Linked DNA regions of Arabidopsis thaliana. The protein of the gene in region 1 purifies or fractionates together with the protein of each later gene. This does not show direct contact. Each region holds a gene or a part of one and is shown on either strand. Other genes may lie near its edges. The genes, in order: AT3G02270, AT4G19006, AT5G67630 and EIF2.

The links.
Region 2: the proteins of AT3G02270 (region 1) and AT4G19006 fractionate together in Arabidopsis thaliana (co-fractionation; one large-scale study listed by BioGRID). This does not show direct contact.
Region 3: the proteins of AT3G02270 (region 1) and AT5G67630 fractionate together in Arabidopsis thaliana (co-fractionation; one large-scale study listed by BioGRID). This does not show direct contact.
Region 4: the proteins of AT3G02270 (region 1) and EIF2 fractionate together in Arabidopsis thaliana (co-fractionation; one large-scale study listed by BioGRID). This does not show direct contact.

What each region holds. Positions count from the first base shown.
Region 1 is NC_003074.8:447,658-453,388, reverse strand, and holds AT3G02270 (Trimeric LpxA-like enzyme), read left to right. Parts: upstream 1-2,381; coding exon 2,382-4,412; downstream 4,413-5,731. Other genes in the region: BIG (auxin transport protein (BIG)), read left to right, coding at 4,900-5,221, 5,389-5,495.
Region 2 is NC_003075.7:10,408,634-10,414,362, forward strand, and holds AT4G19006 (Proteasome component (PCI) domain protein), read right to left. Parts: upstream 2,835-5,729; 5' UTR 2,715-2,834; coding exon 2,565-2,714; intron 2,262-2,564; coding exon 1,815-2,261; intron 1,621-1,814; coding exon 1,540-1,620; intron 1,447-1,539; coding exon 1,250-1,446; intron 1,161-1,249; coding exon 716-1,160; 3' UTR 515-715; downstream 1-514. Other genes in the region: AT4G19010 (AMP-dependent synthetase and ligase family protein), read right to left, coding at 3,082-3,207, 3,296-3,398, 3,530-3,597, 3,675-3,820, 4,104-4,293, 4,521-5,588. UniProt on the Arabidopsis thaliana protein: Acts as a regulatory subunit of the 26S proteasome which is involved in the ATP-dependent degradation of ubiquitinated proteins.
Region 3 is NC_003076.8:26,966,071-26,971,800, reverse strand, and holds AT5G67630 (P-loop containing nucleoside triphosphate hydrolases superfamily protein), read left to right. Parts: upstream 1-2,400; 5' UTR 2,401-2,494; coding exon 2,495-3,243; intron 3,244-3,605; coding exon 3,606-4,266; 3' UTR 4,267-4,423; downstream 4,424-5,730. Other genes in the region: AT5G67640 (uncharacterized protein), read left to right, coding at 1,253-1,357, 1,441-1,489, 1,560-1,886, 2,131-2,255.
Region 4 is NC_003071.7:16,696,848-16,702,591, reverse strand, and holds EIF2 (eukaryotic translation initiation factor 2), read left to right. Parts: upstream 1-2,282; 5' UTR 2,283-2,662; coding exon 2,663-2,908; intron 2,909-3,092; coding exon 3,093-3,172; intron 3,173-3,320; coding exon 3,321-3,550; intron 3,551-3,777; coding exon 3,778-3,899; intron 3,900-3,981; coding exon 3,982-4,095; intron 4,096-4,170; coding exon 4,171-4,260; 3' UTR 4,261-4,551; downstream 4,552-5,744. Other genes in the region: HSPRO2 (ortholog of sugar beet HS1 PRO-1 2), read left to right, coding at 636-1,943.

The DNA.
Region 1 (5,731 bases):
GGAGAATAAGATTACTTTCACTGTGGATTCGCCCATACTTAATTGAGAAGAACAGACTGCTAGGTTTTTTTTTTTTTTTGAAAAATACAAAGTCAAACTTGTAAAGTATACAATACGAATTAAACCACTAAACCAACATCTATATAACCGTATTTAACCAGCAATCCACGTATCAGAACAGAAATGTTGGTTTTTTCTTGTCTTGTTGATCTCTTAGCTTAATCCACCAAAAGACACAACAACACAATAAGTGGAAGACATGCAAAATTAGTTACAGAGCATAGTGCCTTGTAACTTGTAACTCGAAAATAAGACAAAAGTATCTGAAAAAAGATGGCTAGCAACATACATAGATGGACATTTTTGTCTCCACCAAAATCACAACTGTAATCATCTTCTCAAAATCAAAGGTAGAGTAGTTAAATCGTTTCAGACCTTACTCAAGTTAAGAAATACCTTGTCGAATATCTCAGAGGTTCGTTTTATTGTCATCTAATTTCCGATTATATCCCAAGTGTTGCAAGGCTTTTATTGAACAGCTCAAGTGGTTTGCATTGGTGGAAACATCTGTGGGACAAGTAAGAAAATTTGAACCTCAATTGTTCAATTTCATTCTTAAATGGAGCCTCAAATGGGGAACTTTTAGTATATATGTGTCTTAGAAGAAGCAGAGTTTACGCATGTATTCATTTTGTTATCATACTGTTTTTATGTTAAATTAGTAACAAAAGTTTTCATACTCTCTGCTTATGCCAACATTGGTGGTTACTTATGATTCCTATATAGGTCAGCAGAAGTATGTGTCTCATGTTCCTTGGTCTTCCAATGTGTGAAAGCGGTATGCAAAACCAAAAGACTTGGCGGTGGCTTTGAAACAAGATCAGCTTTCATTGCTGCCGCAGCTTCTGGTCCTTGTTACCTATTAAATCAACGATCGTGAAACTCACACTGGACAGAGATGTGGATAAGATGATAACTTGTCATCCCCATAGTTTCGTTGGTATCTCTATATTTCTCTGTTGATAAATTAGGATTGTTATTTTCAGTTGCATGTTAAAACAATCGAAGAAGCTTTTTACATGGTTTTGATGAAATGACAATAGATTTCGGTTCGGCGTACATAGGTTTTGAAATTACAAGTGATTTCTGTTTGGTTTAGATGGTTGTGAAATGAAAATTAATTTTGGTTCGGTTTGTATTAGAATAGTACGGTTTTGAGAAAAAAAAAACAAAAGAAAAAGTCACTCGAGGCTGTTTTGGAAACAAAGCGAGTAGATGTAAAATAGGCATGATTTTGTGGGTTTACCCCTACAGAAATCGACGACACGCGCTCAACGCGAGGTTGATGCGAGTGGGCGTGGTCCGGAGCGCGTGACGCGAAGTTGGTGCGAGTGGGCGTAGTCCGGTGCGCTCTGATTGGTTAGAAAAATGAAAATAGTTGTGTAGTAGCTCCTCCACTTCTCCTCTATTATTTCGTTTTTCGTCATTCTTTAGTTCTGAAAGTTGTGTAGTTTTAAGATTCAATTGAATCTTATTACGAGGTTTTTGGTTATTTTGAAATCATTGATTACTGTCACAAAAAAAAAATAGAAACTAGATTTTGAGATACTAAAATTTTTATTTTCATTTTGTTCTGCAACCATTAAAACTAGATTTAGCTGAGCCCCTAAAGAAATCAAAGTGAGTTGATATGTTTTCTTCACTAGAAAAGTTTTTGCCACTTTTATGACATAGTTATCGAGTATACTATAACATTATACAATATTTTTAAAAAATAGCATAACAATTGGTTTATACCATAAAAATTAGAGATGAGCTCTAACAAAAGTTAAGCTTATTAGAAAAAACACTAAAAGCGTAGAAGATTACTTTCATGGTGGATTCGCCCAAACTTGAGTTGAGAAGAACAGACTGCTAGGGCTTTTTCTTATAGTTTTCGTTTTTTTTTTTTTTTTTTTTCCATCTCTTTTAGTTTTCGTTTGGGACATTTAATGTCTATAATTAATAACAAACGATTGGGCCTTAAATTTAGCTCAGGCCTGGAATAAGCCCATATAGTCCTCGTTTTTATGTCACTCTCAAAACCTCGAAAGTGGTTTCTATCTATCACTTGGGCTTTTATTACTTGTTAAAACAAATTTGATCCAAATCTCAAATGGAACCGACAAAATAGAAAATCCGGTTCTCTCAAAAGGCCAAACACGTGACGTTTAGGAACAAAAAAGACGTTATCACTGCAAGAAGTTTTGACTTTGAGAAAGTCTTTGAATAATCAAAACAGAGTTTTTCAAATTTCCCAAGTCTGAAATGGTACTCGCACCCTGCAGACATTTTCGATCAAAATTTTCAGAGAGTGAGAGAGAGAGAAGGGAGATCAGATAATGGCTTCTCGTAAGAAACGTGCTGCGAAGATTTCAGAGGATTCAGAGGAGGAACAGAGTCGCCGTCAACGGTTACAAGCCATTCTTCTCGCTGACAGTTTCGCCACGAAACTCCTTCCCTTAACCTTAGAACGCCCCAATGTCTTGTTACCGCTAGTGAATATTCCCATGATTGATTACACCTTAGCTTGGCTCGAATCTGCTGGCATAGAAGAAGTTTTCGTCTTTTGCTCGATGCAAGTCATCGATTATCTGAACAACTCTGACTGGTACTCGCACAAAGACTTTACGGTAAAAACTATAGAGTCACCGCAAAACTCCACCAGTGCTGGTGATGCTTTGCGTTATATCTACGAGCAGCAGATTGAGACGTCTCAGATTCAAGGTGACTTTGTTCTTGTTAATGGATGTATTGTTAGTAACATGCCCCTGACGCAGCTGATTCAAGAACACAGAGATAGAAAAAAGAAAGATGAGAAAGCTATCATGACTATGGTTATCAGACAGTCACTCATCACCGATCATCAACTCTTCATCGCTGTAAATCCTTTAACAAAACAGCTTCTTTATTACGATGAGGACAACATCTGCTTCGATAAATCATTGCTGGATCGTAATCCATCTGTTTTGTTATGTAGTGATATGCAGGATTGTTACATTGACATATGTTCTCTTGAGGTGCTTAGTCTATTTGTGGATAACTTCGATTACCAACATATGCGTTGTGATTTTGTGGAAGGTGTTCTTGCTGATGACATTATCGGTTACAAGATTTTCACTCATGAGATTAGCTCGTGTTATGCTTCTAGGATTGAAAATTTCAGGAGCTATGACATGGTGAGCAAGGATATAATCCAGAGGCGGACATTCCCGTATGTACCGGATATGAAGTTCAGCGGAAATCGCACTCTTAAGCTCGAGAGACAAGGGATCTACAAGGCTTCTGATGCTACTCAGTTACCATCTGCTCATGTTGGAGCTTCCTATGTCATTGGACATGCCACAAATATTGGGAGTGGGACTAAGATCTTGAACTCTGTTATTGGGAATGGATGTTCTATTGGATCAAATGTGGTGATCCAAGGCTCATACATATGGAACAATGTTACGGTTGAAGATGGATGTGAGATAAGGAATGCTATTGTATGTGATGAGGTGAAAGTGTGTGCAGGAGCTATTGTGAAACCTGGTGTTGTGTTGTCTTTTAAGGTTGTAGTCGGGAGGGACTTTGTTGTACCTGCATATTCACAGGTTTCACTACTCCGACAACCAATGGAAGAAGACAGTGATGAAGAAAATCTTTTGTCAGGTGTAGATTTGCAAATGGAGTCTAAGCTTGGTCTTGATGGAGCAGGTTACATATGGCGCCAAGCGTGTGAAGACGAGTGGAAGCATTCTGTTCCACCAATCCCCAAAGATAAACTTGCTGAGATCATTAAGGCCATTGACGATGATGACACGGATGATGAAAGTGTTGTCACAACTTCCGGCGATGCTAATACTAGTATTAACAATGATCTCTTTGACTTTGAGAGAGAGGTTGATGGCACCTTCTTAAGGGCTGTCGAAGAGAATATTGTAGCCGACCTTGCGGTTTTGGAGATAAACTCACTCCGGTTGTCATATAACATGGAATCTGCACATTGTGCTGGTGCAATATTCTACTCTATGATGAAACTAGCAGTTAGTACTCCACATAGCTCTATTAATGACTTGTATAGAAACGCATCGAGTATCATTACTCGATGGAAGGGACTTCTTGGGTTCTATGTAAAGAAAAGTGATGAACAGATAGAAGTAATATCGAGATTGGAAGAGATGTGTGAAGAATCTGCTCATGAGTTGGGAACTTTGTTTGCTCATATTTTACGTTATATGTATGAGGAAGAGAATGACCTTTTGCAAGAAGTTGCAATCTTGAGATGGTCGGATGAGAAAGCCGGAGCTGATGAATCTGACAAAGTTTATCTGAAACAATGCGAGCCATTCATAACGTGGCTCAAGGAAACATCTGACGATGAAGATGGCTAATGAATTGGTGGTAAACATGTGTTCGTTGGCTCCCAAAAGGAACATTCTGATTGATTATTTGCATCGAAGAGATTACTTTGTCTTTTTTTCCATGTGTTATTCTAATGATGTGCTATTTTATATCTCATCCATTACATGTATGAGGTATATAAATACAACTTTTATGTTTTTGTAAATGTATTATAGGAAGCTTATTACAGTATTTCCCAAAAAAAAACAATTATAGTTATCTAACGAATTAGAGAAATTTAACTAAGTGAAAAATAATAAAGGAATGATCTAAATATTAATTTTTGGGCTGATTTTGAAAGAAAAGAATAAGGAAATGAAAACGAAGAAGAAGGAACATCGTCTTCTCCACAGAGTCCTCTTTCACCGCCTTTGATTCTTTACTTATAAACCCTTACCTTCCTCTTCCTTTTGTATATACCTATTTCTCTAGAAACCTTTTTCCTCATCGAACTCTTCTTCTTTCGCCTCGCCAGAAATGGCAGATGACTTGGCGAATCTCTGCCGATTTCTCTTCGACGACACCGCCTTTCCCTCTTTGTCGTCTTCGGCATCTTCAGATCTCTTTTCTCGCCGTTTACGCTCCGATGATTCGATCAAGCGCGGTCTCCGTTCTTTCTATCTCCTCCTTCGCTGGGGTGTCGCTCCGATCGGCGGAGACGATGCTGATTCCTCTGGCAAGCTACGCTTTGAGACATGGTCCGATTCGCAGCTTCAAGCTCTTGTTTCGATATCTCAGGCGATCCTTCTACTATCTCGATCTCTATTAGGTACTGACTTGACACTGAATCAAGGTTTAGGTCGGTATCAATTTAGCTGTCCATTTCTAGTTCGTCTTCCACTTTCTGAGCTTTGGCATCTGCTTTTTTTGTTGCTATCCTAGATGAGTTACTAGTTATTTTCCATCTGAACAGTGATGATCTCGAATCATTTTCCTTACTGTTTTTTTTTTTTTGGTGTATCTTAGTGGACCAACTCGAACCAATCGTTTTGGGTGTCATCCAGGAGGTGATGGAATTCTCTCTCAGCTTCTTGGAGAAGTCAAGTTTTAGACAAAATGATCTCAAAATGGAGGTTTGTTCTTTATTATTAATTTGTGATAGAGATTCAGTAGGGAAGTCTTTAATGTTGGTCTTATTTTGGTACACTGGGTAAGTCTAGGTAATCTGCTTGAGGTCCTTTTTGAGCATAGACATATCTTCTAGAGAATTTGTTTTTATTTGTGTTTGTTTTTCGATGATTAGACGTTTGAACTCGTTTTATAAGACTTTATCAGGTTTTTGACACTAGTGGTCAGGTTTTCATTGTTG
Region 2 (5,729 bases), on another chromosome or scaffold:
TCTGCAAATATGCTAATTCGAATTAACGCAAAGAGATTCCCAAAATAGCTCTAACCGATTCAATTTTCGATTTTGAAGCATTATTGAGAAATCGAATCACCAAAACCCCAACATTAGAAATCTAAAACCCAGAAACAACAATCAAAATCTATTGTTCCCAGAGAAGAAAGCTATGTTTTTGTAGAAGAAATCAGATCTGGATTATGTCAATCCAACAGCATCTACCGATGATCCCTAAAATCTATTCCCCAGAAGACAAAACATTTAGAGAGCGAGCAGCTTACGAAGCAGACAGATGAGCTGGAGTCTTTGAGACTTGACTGCTCTGTTTCAAAATCTCAAAATCGGAAAATTTTGATTGAAACGAAACGATGGTGATAATTGGGGTTTAATATGTTTTGACTATTTTACCCTTACACTTTTCATTTCAGAAGTTGACAATTTGGATTCATTCCACTATTTGAGATTTATGAGTTTTTCACACGTCTAATAACAAAAGTTGGACCATTTGTTATGCAAATAGGCTTAAGCCTTAAAGGCAACACTAACGATGAAACTCAACTTAATAGGATAGATTCATGTGTCTGTGGAGAACAAAGTTCAAAAGTATAACTGTAATACCTAAAAACTTAAAAGGAAGTTGCATTTAATCCTCAGAGAATGTTACAATCTGTAGCTTAAACGAACAGTGAAGGAAAAAAGAGGAAAGAAGAGTTTAAGCTGCAACAAGATCAGGTGTCTCGGCCTCAACAGATAACAATGTGGTGTGAACCTTATCGACCCAGCTGTCTAGCTGATCCCTCAATGACTTGATCTGCGGTATTCCTAACACCCTCGGTTGCGCCCATGAGACGTAAACTGTTCCATTCACCTGATCTAGTATTCCCTCTATCAAGTGCACCTGCAATAACTCATTCTCCTCAGTTTTCACAATCAACCAATACAGAATCACACATTCAAGAAGATTTCGAGTCTGCGTCTTGCCAATCTTCTTTAGATTTTTAATGTTACTGATAGAATGAGATAGAGAGAAAGAGAGAGGAAAGAAAAAGGTACTCACCGATAAGCTCTTCATGAGAAGGTGCTCAACATCTTCGATTGAAAGTTTAGTACGCTCGGCAATGACACTCAAAGGTATGGTCCTATCTTCAGCAGGTCGGCTGTGGCAAAGATGTTATATACAAGTTAAGTACTAAGTTTGTTTTCATCTGTATATGGGTATAAGATGACTCCTACAGAGAATGAATACCTGAAAATGATCTCAATAAGGCAGAGAATGTTGATCTTCTCTAATAGTTTCTTCTCATTCTCAACCAGTGCTGGTTGAGCACTCAACGATGCATTGTGCACACGACAGAGTTCTTGGTACTGAACTAAATCTCCGTGGTTGAATGCTTGTAGAATGTGGTAAAGCCATTCCACATTTGTTCCAAGCAGACTTTTCAACTGCCATAACATATATAACATGTCAGTGTTCTTTTATCTATAATGGTGAATAAATCTGTGGTTTGCTAATTTGGAGGATGAAGGGAAACTTACAATTGGATGGGCTAACAGTTCCCCAAAGTTATAGATATTCTCCCCAAGTAGAGCTGAAAGCGACAAATCAAAAGCCAAATCCTGAAAGAAACGAAAGTATATGATATTAACATTTTGATTGGAACACAAAGCAATTTACAGAGATAAAGCATTTTTCACTGTAAGTTTCCTTTCATAGAGTGCTAATACTTATCCAAAATTGCTAAAAGACCATTTGGTAACGTAACGACTACATATATCATATATGAATGATTAGAACATTCAGAGGGACGTACCAGCTTAAATGATTCCGAGAGTGAGTCCACAGACGTATAAGCGAGGTAAAGAAGAGCATTTTTATAGAACTCAGAGAACTCTTGACGGACTTTATGGTACTGAGAAGAGACCCAAAAGAAGTTGGCATAAACTGATGGATCAATGTCAGTCATACTATCAAGCAGGCTTTTTCCATCGTCCAAGATTTTCTTGCACTCCTTCTGGTCACCTTGCTCAAGCTTGAACAAAGCTATTTGTGTTTCTATATAGCTAATTGGTTCATTTATCCTTGACTCTTTAGTAGCTTTAAGCTTCTCAATCACTCCTTCAAGATAACTAACTGCAGCTTCTTTCTCAGGATACTGTCGGGAGACTACAACAGCGAAATGCGCAAGCTTCAGAAGATTGATCCTCGTCTCAAAGTCAGTGATGAAATTGTTGTAAAGCTGTATTAAAGCATCTCCAGCCTGCAAAGATTATGAACATAAACAGGGGGAAACACGTCATTAACAAATCTGTAAACCTTGTAAAGCTGAGTTTTTGGGTATCTCTGAGCTAAAATATTCGAAAGCTTTGGTCACAGAAGTGCGATAATTCACCAATACAAAGCTTTTCAATGAATCTGAAAAATCACCTAAGAGTCGGAACGAATCCTTCAGATCTCTCTATAAACCCAAGTCTAACATGACGACTCCTATTAACTTTCTCGAGATCTATGAACCCTAATCACACAGAAGAACTACGAAACGATGAAAATTCAAGAGATTGACCTGAAAGACAGAGAGAGCGATGAACTGCTCGAGCTTAAGAGTGAGCTGATGCCAGAGCTTCTTCTGGTACAGATCTGCGAGCGAATTGTACCACTCACCAAGCTCTGGGTGCGCATTTTTCTGCGATTCAAGGTATTGTAGAGCAGCCATGGTAGATTTTCGAAGAAACAGAAGGCAAAGCTTCGATCTTGTATCGGTTTGGGAGTAAGAAATCCAGAAAAACCCAGCCTTTTAGTAAACTATATTTCTTGAGCTCAAAGACAAGTATTGGGCGATAAATGCAATAGCCAACGATTAAAAGGACTTTTATGTAAATAAAATACTAAGGCTAAAATTACATTTTGGGCTCAGAAAGAATTTTTGTTTCCGTATTGGGTTACAATGCTTTATTCACTGAGAATCAAAGAATGTGTCTGTTTATTTCTTTTGATGCTACAAAACCAATGAATTGAGTTATGAAGGCTATATTAGTGGATCTCTCTGTCTGCTACTTATTACCAAACAAATGAAGAAAGAATCATAGTCTTGAAGAAACAGAGTTTGTAAGAATTCTCTTTAGTTCCTTTCTCAATATCTTCCCAGTTGGAGATTTTGGTATAGAGTTGACCATCACCACTTTCCTCACCTTCCTGTAGGGTGCAACCTAGAACACGTAATGTATAATAATGTATTACATTAATGATCAGTGTTTTGAAATGGGAAAAGCCATTTTGAATTAGTGGGAACCTAACCTGAGAAGCTACATAGCTTATTACATCTTCTTCTGAAAGTGTTGTTTCTTGTCTCCGGACAACGAATGCTACCGGAATCTCTCCACATTCTTCATTTGGGGCACTGAAATGGAAAGTTTGGATACTTTCAGTAGAGTAACAGACTCTGTCGAATTCTCCAAAACTGGATTTGCAGTATCTTTCACTTATTAAACTAGTTTAGTAAATGATCAAGATTTGTTTTTTCGAACTTACGCTGTTACTGCAGCGTCGATAATCAAGGGATGTGAAACAAGAACAGCCTCCAAATCTGCTGGAGCGATCTGCAAAAACCATAAATGCAAAGAATTAATATTTCCTAATTTAGAGTTGGCTGAAAGAGAAACTGCTGTTCCTTTACCTGAAAGCCTTTGTACTTTATAATCTCCTTAATACGGTCAACAATAAACAAGTAACCATCTTCATCAAAATAAGCAATATCCCCAGTACGTAGCCAACTATCTTCAACTATACTCATCTGAGTTGCTTTTGGGTTATTCAAGTATCCTGACAGACAAATGAACGGTGTTCAGATTCTCTCCAAGTAAAATTAAAACTGTTCCATAAAAATATGTAGCACAAAATCAAGAACAAGATAATAAGCCTAATCTATCAACACAAGCACCAAATAAGCCCCACGAAAGTTGGAAGATCCAATCTATATTTACATTTATTAGGATGCAAGTGTTTCTCAGTGATTTGAACCATTGACAAAAGACTTTATTCATGAACTGAGAAGGAAAATCTCAACTATTTTGGTAAAGAAGTACAGTAGGAAGAATCTATCTACCTTTCATGACACCGGGACCTTGTATCCAGAGCTCTCCTCGGTTTCCTGGTGGAAGGAAAGAACCAGAGCTCCAATCTACTACCTTGGCTTGCATATTAGGAGCCAGTAGTCCCACAGAAGAATACCTACTAAGCTTTTCCGAGTTGAAGCCCCGTGTTCCAACTGCAGTTGATTCAGTCATTCCATATCCCTGCAACAAAATGTGATCCATTTTATACACACTTTCAGCTAAATGTAAAGAAAATAATAGTGTGAGTCAAAAAGTCATGGCCTCGTTAAATCAATTTTAGTTGTTTCTTTTGGGAAGAGATGTCAAATTTTTCTAAAAAATGTAGATTCTACTTCTTATTGAGTTTATGAATGAATAACATTTAATTCAGTTTTCTAAAACGACATCCAAAAGTAAAATTCAGAGACCTGAATCAAATCGACATGAGGAAGAGTCTGAAGGAAATCTTCAATGAACTTCCTACTCAAAGGAGCTGCTCCAGAAGAAACTTGCTTCAAACTTTTAAACACTTCACCACAAACTCCTTTTGCCTTCTTTGTCAATGCCATCAACATAGGTGGAACAACCGGGAAATGAGTGATCTTAAACCTTTCAATTACATTAACAACATCAGAAGCATCAAACCTCTTCATAACAACAATAGTTGATCCCAGAGACAACAATCCCATCACAAAGAGTGATAACCCGTAGATATGGCACAAAGGCAAAGCTGCTAGATAAACATTACTCGATCCCGGATATTCGTACTGAGAAGCTTCAAACCTCACAAAAAGCTCCATTGATGCTATCAAATTCCTATGAGTTAACAAAACTCCTTTACTAGCTCCAGTTGTTCCAGATGAATACATAATTGCAGCTACATCGTCTTGCTTAATCAACGGTTTTGGTACAAACCCAAAACTTTCTTTCATAATGGAGTAAAACTTCGGGTTTTCGATACGAATCGAATCAAAATCGTAACTTTCAGATACACTAATCACACTAACCCCCAAAGAACTCAGCTTCTCAACGTTTTCAGTAGAAGTAAAAGCTAATCCAACACTACACTCACTAACTTGCTTCTTAATCTCTCCTAAACTACTCGAAGGATTCATGGTAGTAACAATAGCACCAAGCGAGATCAAAGAGAGGAAAATCATCGGAAAATAGACGGAATTAGGCAAGACGAGTGATACAACGTCACCTTGACGAACACCTAAAACGTGATAGATCCCAGCCGCCATTGATTGAACCATAATCTGTAGCTCAGTGTGAGATATTGAGAACCCGGTTAAGGAATCGATGAGCGCTGTATCGCCGTGGTGTTTGTGTGAGAAAAGAGCGGAGACGGCGTCGAGATTTGGGTCGACGGGGAGGTGTAGGGAAGGGAATTTGCTGGTGTAGATTCCTGTTTTAGAAGAGAACCAAAAGGGAGGGTTTTGGTGAGACGTTTGGGTTTTAGGATTTGGCGGTATGTGAAGATGTGTCGCCGCCATTAGAGAGAAGCAGAGTTTAAGATTCTGCAGCGATCAATATTTACTTCTGATCGGGAAATAAACCAACGACGGAATAGTTTAGTAAAATAATTAATTTAGTTGTAACACTATTATTATGTACTAATTGCAATTAATTGATTT
Region 3 (5,730 bases), on another chromosome or scaffold:
AACACTTGTGGACTTTTCGGAAATCATACTATTCACGAGAACAGTCGCTTTTTGGTTGTAATGAGTTCTTTCGACGCCGTACCTTTTGTCGGTGACTTGTCAAAGGTCCACATTTTGCACCACCACCAGGATCTTGTCAACATCAAGTCAGCATTGAGTGGAGCTTCTAAATGGGTAAACAGAACTGTTCGTAACCCACAATCGGATTTCTGTTACATGTCCACAATATTTATGTGTTGGAGTGACGTTGCTTACACAACAAGCAAGCTCTTGACATGTGAACATGAATGCAGTCAATGTTGTGTTCATGTGAAAGTTACTTGATTTCAGCTTGGATATGCAGGCAACAATTAAATGGAGAGGAAAGATCTGCGAGGTGATGAGTTTATCCAAAAAGACAGAGGATATCTTGGTCACATGTGTTCAAGGAATCTTGGAATTCATTTAACAAAGTTTTTATATGGAGGAAGCTTTAGCAAGTCGCTCTTGAGGCTGAAAAGGAAACGCCATAAAGTTCTTAAGAGAAAGTATTATGAATTGGTGGACAAAGGATGTCTTCAAAGATTTCAGATTTGGGTCGAATCTTTCTAACCCAGAAGGGCTGATGCAGCGTATCTCAAAGACGAACGTGTTGTTCGTCCCGTTTGGGCTGGCTCGTTGTTTGGGTTTTGTTTCTCATGGGCTTCATGTTTATTTAGCCTTTTAGTACTTGTATTCGTTTGCTTCTCTTTTATGTTAGTTTTTTTTTTTATCTTTCTCTTATTTGAAAAGACGTAATTTAGTATTGTAATTAGTTTTGATTATTGATTAAAGAGTTTTAAAGAGTGTTTTGTGTAAAGCCTATAAAAAAGGACTCCTAACCCTAAGAGCTTGTGTTCAAGCCCTGTAAGGAGGACTTGCAAAACCTTGTCGATATCGATCCCTTAGAATCGATCTCGATCTTATCATTTATTGCTTCTTCGTCAAGTTTTGACGTTTTAGCAAGATCTATTCGTGAATCCGACTTTTCCTGCAATCATGGAATAAGAATGTGTTTTTTTTTAAAATGTGTTTATTAAAGAAAGAAGGAAAAAAAAAGTTTTAGTTACATTTGACGTGAACTCTTTGACTTGTGTGGGTGCAATACTATATCAAAAAAATTGGGAGTAGTAATACAGTTACCACTAAAGTTTAGGGACATAATGAACAAAAAAAAAAAAAAAAGTTACACATCTTATGAATTAGACGGAGATTTCGCTGCCAAGTGCCGACGATGCGACGGCGAGAAGAAAAGCGTCGAGAATTTCACGAAGCTCTTCTTCAAACACTGTATCCTCCTTCATCGCCACCTTCTTCTCCTTCCTATTCTCCGCCTCCGGTATTTTCTCAATCTCTATTTGTGTCAATTTGTTAGTTCTCGATTGGGTTATGAATCGATAAATGTTCCCGCCATTGTTTCAGGTGGAGGTTGTTGATAACGAACCATTCGATGTGTCACTCATAAACCCAGGTACGATTAATGTAATCTTAACAAGTTATTTACACTTTGGAAGTCACATTCAAATTTGTTTATTATTCAGAGGATTACTTGAAAATCGATTCATCTAATCACGGAGAAGACAAAGAAATCGGAGACGAATTGGGGATTGCAGAGAAACAGAGTCGAGCGCAGAGAAAGAGGTTAAGGAAGAAGATGCTCAAAGAGGAAGCAGCTCGACGGAAGAAAGTCATCGGACCTTTACTTCCGACTGAAATGCTTCAGACCCATGATGAAAGAAGTGTCGGAGATGCTTGTGGGAGCAATGTTGAAGAAGAAGATTCTGACGGTGGCGAAGAAGAGGTTGATGGGAGCATTAGCAACATATGCTCACAACTTGTTCGACCAAATGCCCAAGAGAAGAAAGAAGGTACACACAGCTTTTGACTTTTTTGACGATATCCTTAGTTTCAAATCTTTTGGGAAAAATTCGTACTTTATCTAACTAGATTTCATAACACATGTACGTATTCAGATCAAGGGTTTGACTTTAATCAAAATCTACTAGCTCATCAAGTTGTTGTCTCATTGTTGGTCCTGTGCAAATTACTCAAACGTTCTCTTTTGTGTATTAATTACATTACGCGTCTGACTCTTTATTTTTTGTTTGGTAGGACTAATCGGTGACAATGATAAGACGAGAAAAGTCAAGAAGAGAAGAAATGCTAAGAAACTGGCCAAAGAGAGTTCTAAGAATATCCAGGATGGATCCAATGCAATCCCTGAAATTCCTAATTAGGGTTCAAATTATCACAGACCTTTATCTAAGAGTTAATTACTTCATCTTTAATAATTCAAGGGTATATTACTAAATTTATAATTCTCGTCTATAAGATTTGTGAGTTCCTTTTATGCCCTTGTTAAGAGGATTTAACTCTTACATCGTCATTGCCATTGTGTAGCTTTTCTCTAAACCCTAAAACCTTAACTTTTTGCTCTTCTCCCTCCGCCTCAATCGCACGAAGACGATAATCGAATATGGCGGAACTAAAGCTATCAGAGAGTCGGGACTTAACCAGAGTCGAGCGAATCGGCGCACACTCACACATCAGAGGACTAGGTCTCGACTCTGCCCTCGAGCCGCGAGCTGTTTCCGAAGGTATGGTCGGTCAAGTGAAGGCGCGTAAAGCCGCCGGTGTAATCCTTCAGATGATTAGAGAAGGGAAAATCGCGGGTCGGGCTATTCTAATAGCGGGTCAACCCGGAACGGGTAAGACAGCGATTGCAATGGGTATGGCGAAATCTCTTGGCTTGGAAACTCCTTTTGCGATGATTGCAGGAAGTGAAATTTTCTCATTAGAGATGTCAAAGACAGAAGCTTTGACTCAGTCTTTTCGTAAAGCGATTGGTGTTAGGATCAAAGAAGAGACAGAGGTTATTGAAGGAGAAGTTGTTGAGGTTCAGATTGATAGGCCTGCTTCTTCTGGTGTTGCTTCCAAGTCAGGGAAGATGACTATGAAAACGACTGATATGGAAACTGTGTATGATATGGGAGCTAAGATGATTGAGGCTTTGAACAAGGAGAAAGTGCAGAGTGGTGATGTTATTGCCATTGATAAAGCTACTGGGAAGATTACTAAGCTTGGAAGATCGTTTTCGAGGTCTCGTGATTATGATGCTATGGGTGCGCAGACCAAGTTTGTGCAGTGCCCTGAAGGTGAGTTGCAGAAGAGGAAAGAGGTTGTACATTGTGTCACTCTTCACGAGATTGATGTTATCAACAGCAGGTACTTTTAACATTCCCTGAATTGTAAACATTGGTAATCATGATTTGGTATCTGCAATACCAATGTAGGTTGCAAAATTGAAGTTTTAGTGATTAGGTGATTGGGAATTTAGTTGATTTGGCTCACTAATTTCAGATGAGATGTCTCAAATTTGAGATTAATTCATTGCTTTATATGCTCTTGAAATTCTCAAGCTCATTTTCTTTAGCAGTGTGTAGTCAGAGCACTCTTTATAACTATAACTAACTCATCTGTTTGTGGTATCGTTAGAACCAATTTTGGTTGCGGAATTTAATGTTTGAAACATGATTGGTAGAACAAAAAAAAGTAACTTTGTGTACTTCTTCTTTGTTTGCTTGCAGGACACAAGGGTTTCTTGCCCTTTTCACTGGCGATACTGGAGAAATCCGATCAGAAGTCCGGGAACAAATTGATACAAAAGTAGCTGAATGGAGAGAAGAAGGAAAAGCAGAGATAGTTCCCGGAGTTCTCTTCATTGATGAAGTCCACATGCTCGACATCGAATGCTTCTCATTCCTTAACCGAGCTCTAGAAAACGAAATGTCACCAATCCTTGTGGTGGCAACAAACCGAGGAGTGACGACAATCCGTGGCACAAACCAGAAATCACCACACGGGATCCCGATTGATCTCCTTGACCGTCTTCTCATCATCACTACCCAACCTTACACAGACGATGACATAAGGAAGATATTAGAAATCCGTTGCCAAGAGGAAGACGTTGAGATGAACGAAGAGGCCAAACAGCTTTTGACATTGATCGGACGTGATACATCTCTAAGGTATGCGATTCATCTTATAACCGCAGCTGCATTGTCATGCCAGAAACGGAAAGGGAAAGTCGTGGAGGTTGAGGATATTCAGAGAGTTTACAGACTGTTCTTGGATGTGAGGAGATCGATGCAGTATCTTGTTGAGTATCAGAGTCAGTATATGTTCAGTGAACCAATCAAAAACGATGAAGCTGCTGCAGAAGACGAACAAGATGCTATGCAGATCTGAGGATCCACCTCTGTTTGCCTTATTTATCATGTTTCGTGGTGATATGTATGATTAGGATGTTGAACTCGGATTTATGTTTTTTTTTTTTTAAGTTGTGACGAGATTCGGTTCTAGAAAATGATTTAACCAAGTTCAATACAGATCGGTTTGGTACAAATTTGATTTTGTTTGGATTTGGTCAACTTATTTCGGTTCGGTTAGACTAGACTGTAGGAGATGGTTTTACTAAATTAGTCTGGCCCGTTAAGACTTTATATGGGCTTTAAGCCCAATATTGACGAGTATAGTGAATCTCTCTCTTATCATTAAATACATGTAAGCGTGTGTTGTTCGCAAAATTTGACACGCATGCAAGTCTCTACCATCAGAGTAAATTAATTACGAGTGTTCTCTTACCAGACTTCATCGGTTTTTGGTGGCGTGTTTTGGTGTAACGAATTTATTTTGCTTGGTCGGGTCAATTTCAACTTATTTAGTGAAATATTATCTAAATTTATGAATAAACGTGTGTCCTTGAATTTCTTGAATAAAGATTTCAAAACAAACGGCTTTGTAGAACAAGAGTTAATGATAGAAGGCCAAACAAATTGTTCCAAACTCATGGATTGAATTAATCTAATTTACACATCGCTTGCAAGTAATTAGAAAAAACAAACATCACACGCTGGTGAATCCAACCAAAAATATGCATTATAAAAAGTCGAACAAATCTATTGACAGTAAAGAGTCGCAGTGTCTTTAGGTACTCTGCCATTGTGACATCTGATTCAACTCGTCATGGGTCCCATACTACATTTTATCATTCTCACTGTTACCGTAACTCTGAATCAACAGCTTCCTTTGGAACAGCCTTTATTTGTAATAGTACTTTTTATTCTTCGAAACAATCGGATTGTGATATGATGCGGATTGTGATATGATGAAAAAAACAAAAAAACAATCGGATTGTGATAAGAAATATGTGAATGAATATTCAAATAAATCAAATCCATAAAGATTTTGTTATCAACTACACTTTAGTTCAAATAACATGTAAAATTGGACATAGTTTTACGTGTTGCTCGGATATCATTTCAGAGATTCGTATCACACATTGAAGCCATAAAAACAGCAATCAATCCATACATAAAACAAATTACATAAAGTTAAAAAAAAAAAAAAAAAAAAAAAACTTTGATCATATTGAAAATATTTCTTAATTATTTATTATTTCCCCTTTAATTAGTTATCAAATCATCAATATATTACTTTCTAAATGAAAATTGTTGAATAGTATTAGTAAAAGATGGTTATTGATTAAATTTTACAGTCTAGTTTGGTTTTTAATTAGATACCATAACCTCTAGTCAACTTAATAATTCAAGAGAATGAAACATGTTGTTAATTAATTCATTGGTTGCGATATGCAAGATCCTTAATAACATTTATTAATTTCATATAAAATTCAAATGTCATTATCATTAT
Region 4 (5,744 bases), on another chromosome or scaffold:
ACTATCAAAATTATTATATATTTGCTTCGATCAAAAACTATCTACAGCTTGTAAATATTGCTCATAAGTGACAACCCATAACGCATGACTGACTTTCAAAAATGTATTTGCAGAAAATTTTATATTCTTATCGATCAACCCCTAAATGTTATACTACATCGCATATATCATCAAATAAAACATTTCTATATATGTATTAACATGTTATGAACATGACTGTGTGTTTTAACTTTAACTTTTATTAAAAGATAATATCTTACCAAAAACGAGAAAATATTCGATATTTCCTTAGAAATCAGATTACTGAACATTCGACTAATCATCAGGCATTTACCTTTCATAGAAAACAGTTCAAAAAGCAATATAAAGCCAAAAAACGAAAAAAAGATTATCCTGAAATTAATCCACAGTACTGGTTTTTTTTTTTTTTAAAAAGGAGACCGCGTTTCTACGCTGACTTTCAAATCAGTCGCGTCGGTATTATTCCACACGCCTTTTTTCTCGTCCCCATCCTCTATCCACATTTCTCTCTATATATACTCTCCTCGTATCCTAAACTCATCCTCAAATTCAAAATTTAACACACAAACACAAACACACACACCAAAAAAAACACAGACCTTAAAAAAATAAAAATGGTTGATATGGATTGGAAGAGGAAGATGGTATCATCAGATTTACCAAACTCACCTAAGCTTTCTTCAAAGCTTCACGTAACTATTCCATCACCGTTCAAAATCGTCCCTGTTTCATCTCCGATCTCATGTTCAGCACCTGCTCTTTGCTCTGCTTACGAGCTTTACCTTCGTCTCCCTGAGCTAAGAAAGCTCTGGTCATCTCGTGATTTTCCTCAATGGACATCAGAGCCGATTCTCAAACCAGCTCTTCAAGCTTTGGAGATCAGTTTCAGATTAGTTTTCGCCGTTTGTTCTGATACTAGACCGTACATCAACCACCGTGAATGGAACCGGAGGCTAGATTCTCTCATCACGAAGCAGATCCAGCTTGTAGCAGCGATCTGCGAAGATGAAGAAGAAGAAGGTATATCAGCGGAGGCTCCGGTCGGCGGTGGACGGAGTTCGTTGAGTTTGTTACCGCAGCTAGCTACGTGGAGGAGATCAGAGGCTTTGGGGAAGAAGATCTTATATACGATCGATAACGAGATGAGTCGGTGTAAGTACACGCTCGGACTCGGTGAACAAAACATCGCCGGAAAACCAAATCTCCGGTACGATGCGATTTGCCGACCAAACGAGATCTATAGCCTCAAGGATAATCCATACGCAGATCATATCGATAATCACGAGAATCAAACTCTCTATATCATTCACCAGATCCTCGAATCGTGGATCTACGCATCTGGAAATCTTCTGAATCGAATCGTCTCAAGTATCGAAGAAGAGAAATTCGGAAAAGCTTCAAACGATGTTTACTTGCTGGAGAAGATCTGGAAAATTTTAGCGGAGATTGAAGATCTTCATATGTTGATGGATCCGGAAGATTTTTTGAAATTGAAGAAACAGTTACAGATCAAATCGACGGGTAAAAACGATGCGTTTTGTTTCAGATCTAAAGGATTAGTGGAGATGATGAAGATGTCGAAAGATCTGAGACAGAAAGTACCGGCGGTCTTGGCGGTTGAGGTAGATCCAACCGGAGGACCAAGATTACAAGAGGCGGCGATGAAGCTTTACGCGAGGAAGACAGAGTGCGATAAGATTCATTTGCTTCAGGGGATGCAAGCGGTGGAAGCGGCGGCGAAGAGTTTCTTCTTTGGGTATAGGCAGTTAGTGGCGGCTATGATGGGAAGTGCGGAGATGAACGCGACGGCGAGTCAAGAGTCGTGTGACTCACTGAGTCAGATATTTATGGAGCCGACGTATTTCCCGAGCCTTGACGCGGCAAAGACGTTTCTGGGAGAGTTTTGGAGTCATTTGGGATGATTAAATTTTAATTTCTGCTGGTATAATTATTTAATATAAATTTAAATTGGTGGTTTGGTTTAATTTAGTTTGTAAGATAGTGAAATTTTTGGAACATTTGACGATCCATATTTGAATACAAATTCATTTTTATATGATTTATGAGATTTTTTAACAAACGATAACATTTACGAATATCGTAATCCATACTTTGAATTATCCACAAGTCGTAATTCAAATATGGGTGGTCTACTAACGAGTAACGACTAATCTATATGCTCTGACTAATCGTCAACAAATCACCACCTATCCTTCGTAGATGTTAGTGTATGAGAAAAACACAATTTCACACCTATCCTTTGTAGATGTTAAATTATGAGAAAAACACAATTTCACTTTCACAGTGTATAATATTCAAAATTCAATGATAAACACACACACAAAAACGTTATAAAAAACCCAAACCGACGATGAGTAACCAAACCGATGTATAAAACGACATTGCCTTTCTCTGTTTTTTGTGTTCAACAAATTTCATTAAGAGAAAGAAGGGAAGTGTTTGAATGAGTATTCATTCATTAGTCCAAGAAAAACATTTAATGGGCCTGTTTGTAGGCCCACTGGCACATAACCTATCTTCTGTATCATTGATGCCTTCTCCTACCTTCCTCTGACGCTCACATCGGAAACCCTAAATCTCCACTCTCTCGCGCCTTTTACCCCTTCTCAGAATCTTAACCATGGCGGCGACGAGCGAGCACACCATCTTGCAATTTGTGTCTCCGTCATCAACGGCGTCCGCTACAACCTCTGTACTCACGGCGAGGATCCACCCTCTCGTTATCTTTAACGTCTGTGATTGCTTCGTGAGACGTCCTGACTCAGCTGAACGAGTCATCGGAACTCTCCTCGGATCTATCTTACCTGACGGAACCGTCGATATCCGCAATTCATACGCCGTCCCTCACAATGAATCATCCGATCAGGTTCGAAATTTTGATCTCTAAATTTCTCCTCTCTCTCGATTCTCTATCGTTGGAGATCCTAGATCTTTCGTAGCTGAAGATTTGCTTGTTAGGATGTGAATGTTTATAGGAGTAGTGTTAGCTTCATACCCCAAGGTTGTGACTTGTGATAAGTTTTGAGGGTTATGGTTTGATATGGATGCAGGTTGCTGTGGATATTGATTACCACCACAATATGTTAGCTTCACACCTTAAGGTGAATTCAAAGGAAACTATTGTCGGCTGGTACTTCTCGTTTCCCACTCTTATTCTCTTATACTCTCATGATTAGTCTCATATCTTTGTCACATGATTCTTGTAGCTGTGTTGGAACACTGCATTAGGTAGTTTCTCATTTTGGAATAGTTGATTGAACAAGTTTATTGATTTGCAGGTATTCAACTGGTGCTGGGGTTAATGGCGGTAGTTCGCTGATTCATGATTTCTATGCTAGAGAAGTACCCAACCCAATTCACCTAACTGTGGATACTGGGTTTACTAATGGTGAGGGTACTATCAAAGCTTTTGTCTCTTCAAACCTCTCACTCGGTGATCGACAACTCGTTGCACATTTTCAAGAGATTCCTGTTGATCTCCGCATGGTTGATGCTGAGAGAGTCGGATGTGAGTATTCTATCCTTTTATTAGTAACCAATTCTATATTCAAAATACATAACAGTCCTCATTCCTCAATTGTCTAAGTAGTTCAGTTTCTGCATGGTTGATTCAGTATCTAGAGATTGTTTCCCTAATGATTGTGAATGAACCAACGGGAATAGATGATCTTTGGTTGTGTCTGTTCAGTAGATTAATGATTGTGACTGATTTAAAAACATCATTTTGATCCACAGTCGATGTACTTAAGGCAACATCTGTTGACAAACTCCCAAATGACTTGGAAGGAATGGAGTTAACAATGGAGAGGCTGTTAACTCTAATCAACGATGTCTACAAATATGTTGACAGTGTCGTGGTAAGCTTATGATATCCTTGACTGTCTATTATCGACCATAGATACATGATCTTTGATACAGAGTTTTAATGAAATTTCCCAGGGAGGTCAAATAGCTCCAGACAACAACATTGGACGATTCATTGCAGATGCAGTAGCCTCCCTTCCCAAGTTACCTCCACAAGTCTTCGATAACCTCGTGAATGATAGTCTCCAGGTAAAAGATTGTAAATTTCAAGCCAAAGCAAAACACTTTGTAAAAAACTAATGGTTGTTTCTTCTGTTATTTCAGGACCAATTGCTTCTGTTGTACCTATCAAGCATAACAAGGACACAGTTGAGTCTAGCGGAGAAGCTAAACACAGCTGCTCAAATGCTATAATAAGCTTGGAAACACAAGGTTTTGCTAAAAATGGGGAATGCTGCTTTTTTGGTTTCGAATTTTCTTTTAACAAGTTTATGTAAGAATCAGCTTCTTGTTGTAGTGTTCCTAAATTGCAAGTTTAAGAAAGACAAAATGCTCTGTTTCGTGAATTAAGGTCTTTAAAAGGGATTTTTAGTTGGTGTGCCTAATTTTAAACAATATACATATAAATGAGCTTTGTTCTTTTTTTATTTGCCACTTGTTGCGCCTAATCTTTATCACTGGAGATATTTATGCTCAGAATTTTGGATCATGGTCTCTCTCTATTAGCTATGTTACATTGAAAGAGTATAGAAGCCTAGAATTACTGCTTTCTCTTTTGCCGTATTGCGATTGGCCTATGTAGGATCTTACAAAACAGGCTTAATAGACACTATTGGAAACTAACTTCTAAATTGTAAACAATTTGCGATTTGCGGTTGCATATAATAATGCTAACTTTGGCATATAATAGACACTATTGGAAGTTAATATCTAAATATTACACAACATTTGCGATTGAAATCATTCAGCAATTTTTTCATTTCCTGCTTTCACTACACAACTAACACAATCAATTTTTTTACCCGTTTTTTTGTCTTTCTGATAAGCTAAATTAGAGCTACGGTTTATGTATCGGAATACATTAAACTGATTTCGCTGAATCCGAACGAGTATTTGAAGTTTTTGTGGTTAAAAACTTGATTATTTTAGTTTGTGTTGTAAAAACATGAGGGGAGTTTTTGTGGAATGGATTTTGATAGCAAATGTATACGCCTGTTTCTCTGTCAACATACGTACTACATACGATGTTATACAGACATATACGACCGTACCAGTACATGTACATATCAAACTTGAGAAGAATATGTGTAGGCCGGTGTGTAGATGGGTCAACATTAAAGACGTGCATGCACTTGTGATGTAAGTGAACAACTTGCATACATTGTTCACAGTAATCTAACTTATCATTCCACTTCACCCACCTTCACTCTATGGTTATTGGTCTCCATAGCCTTTGCCTTTTCTCTTTATTTATACATTGACGTAGTATCATACGTATTAGTGCTAACCGATAAATTAATATTCGAATCATTTTCATAGTAGTTGTGGGTTACATTTATTTAAAACCTGAAAATTTACGATAATTTGCAATAATTCTCATGATTTTATGAGACGGACTAAACATAACACGGAGAAAACACATACTCGACGACTAGCTACAACTATATTTATGAATTAGGGATGGGCACTCGACTTTTCAATACGATCGACATCATATTTTAGACCAAAATAATTCTTAAAACGCTCTTTGATAATATGTGTAACCAAAAGAGCCACCCATTCATATATGGTCCCGTGATATATTATCACATGATCTCTATTCAAACTATGACATGCATGGTCCCGGCTGTTTTAAACCTAACGATTCGGACAAGTTATTTTCATGCTACATGGATTAG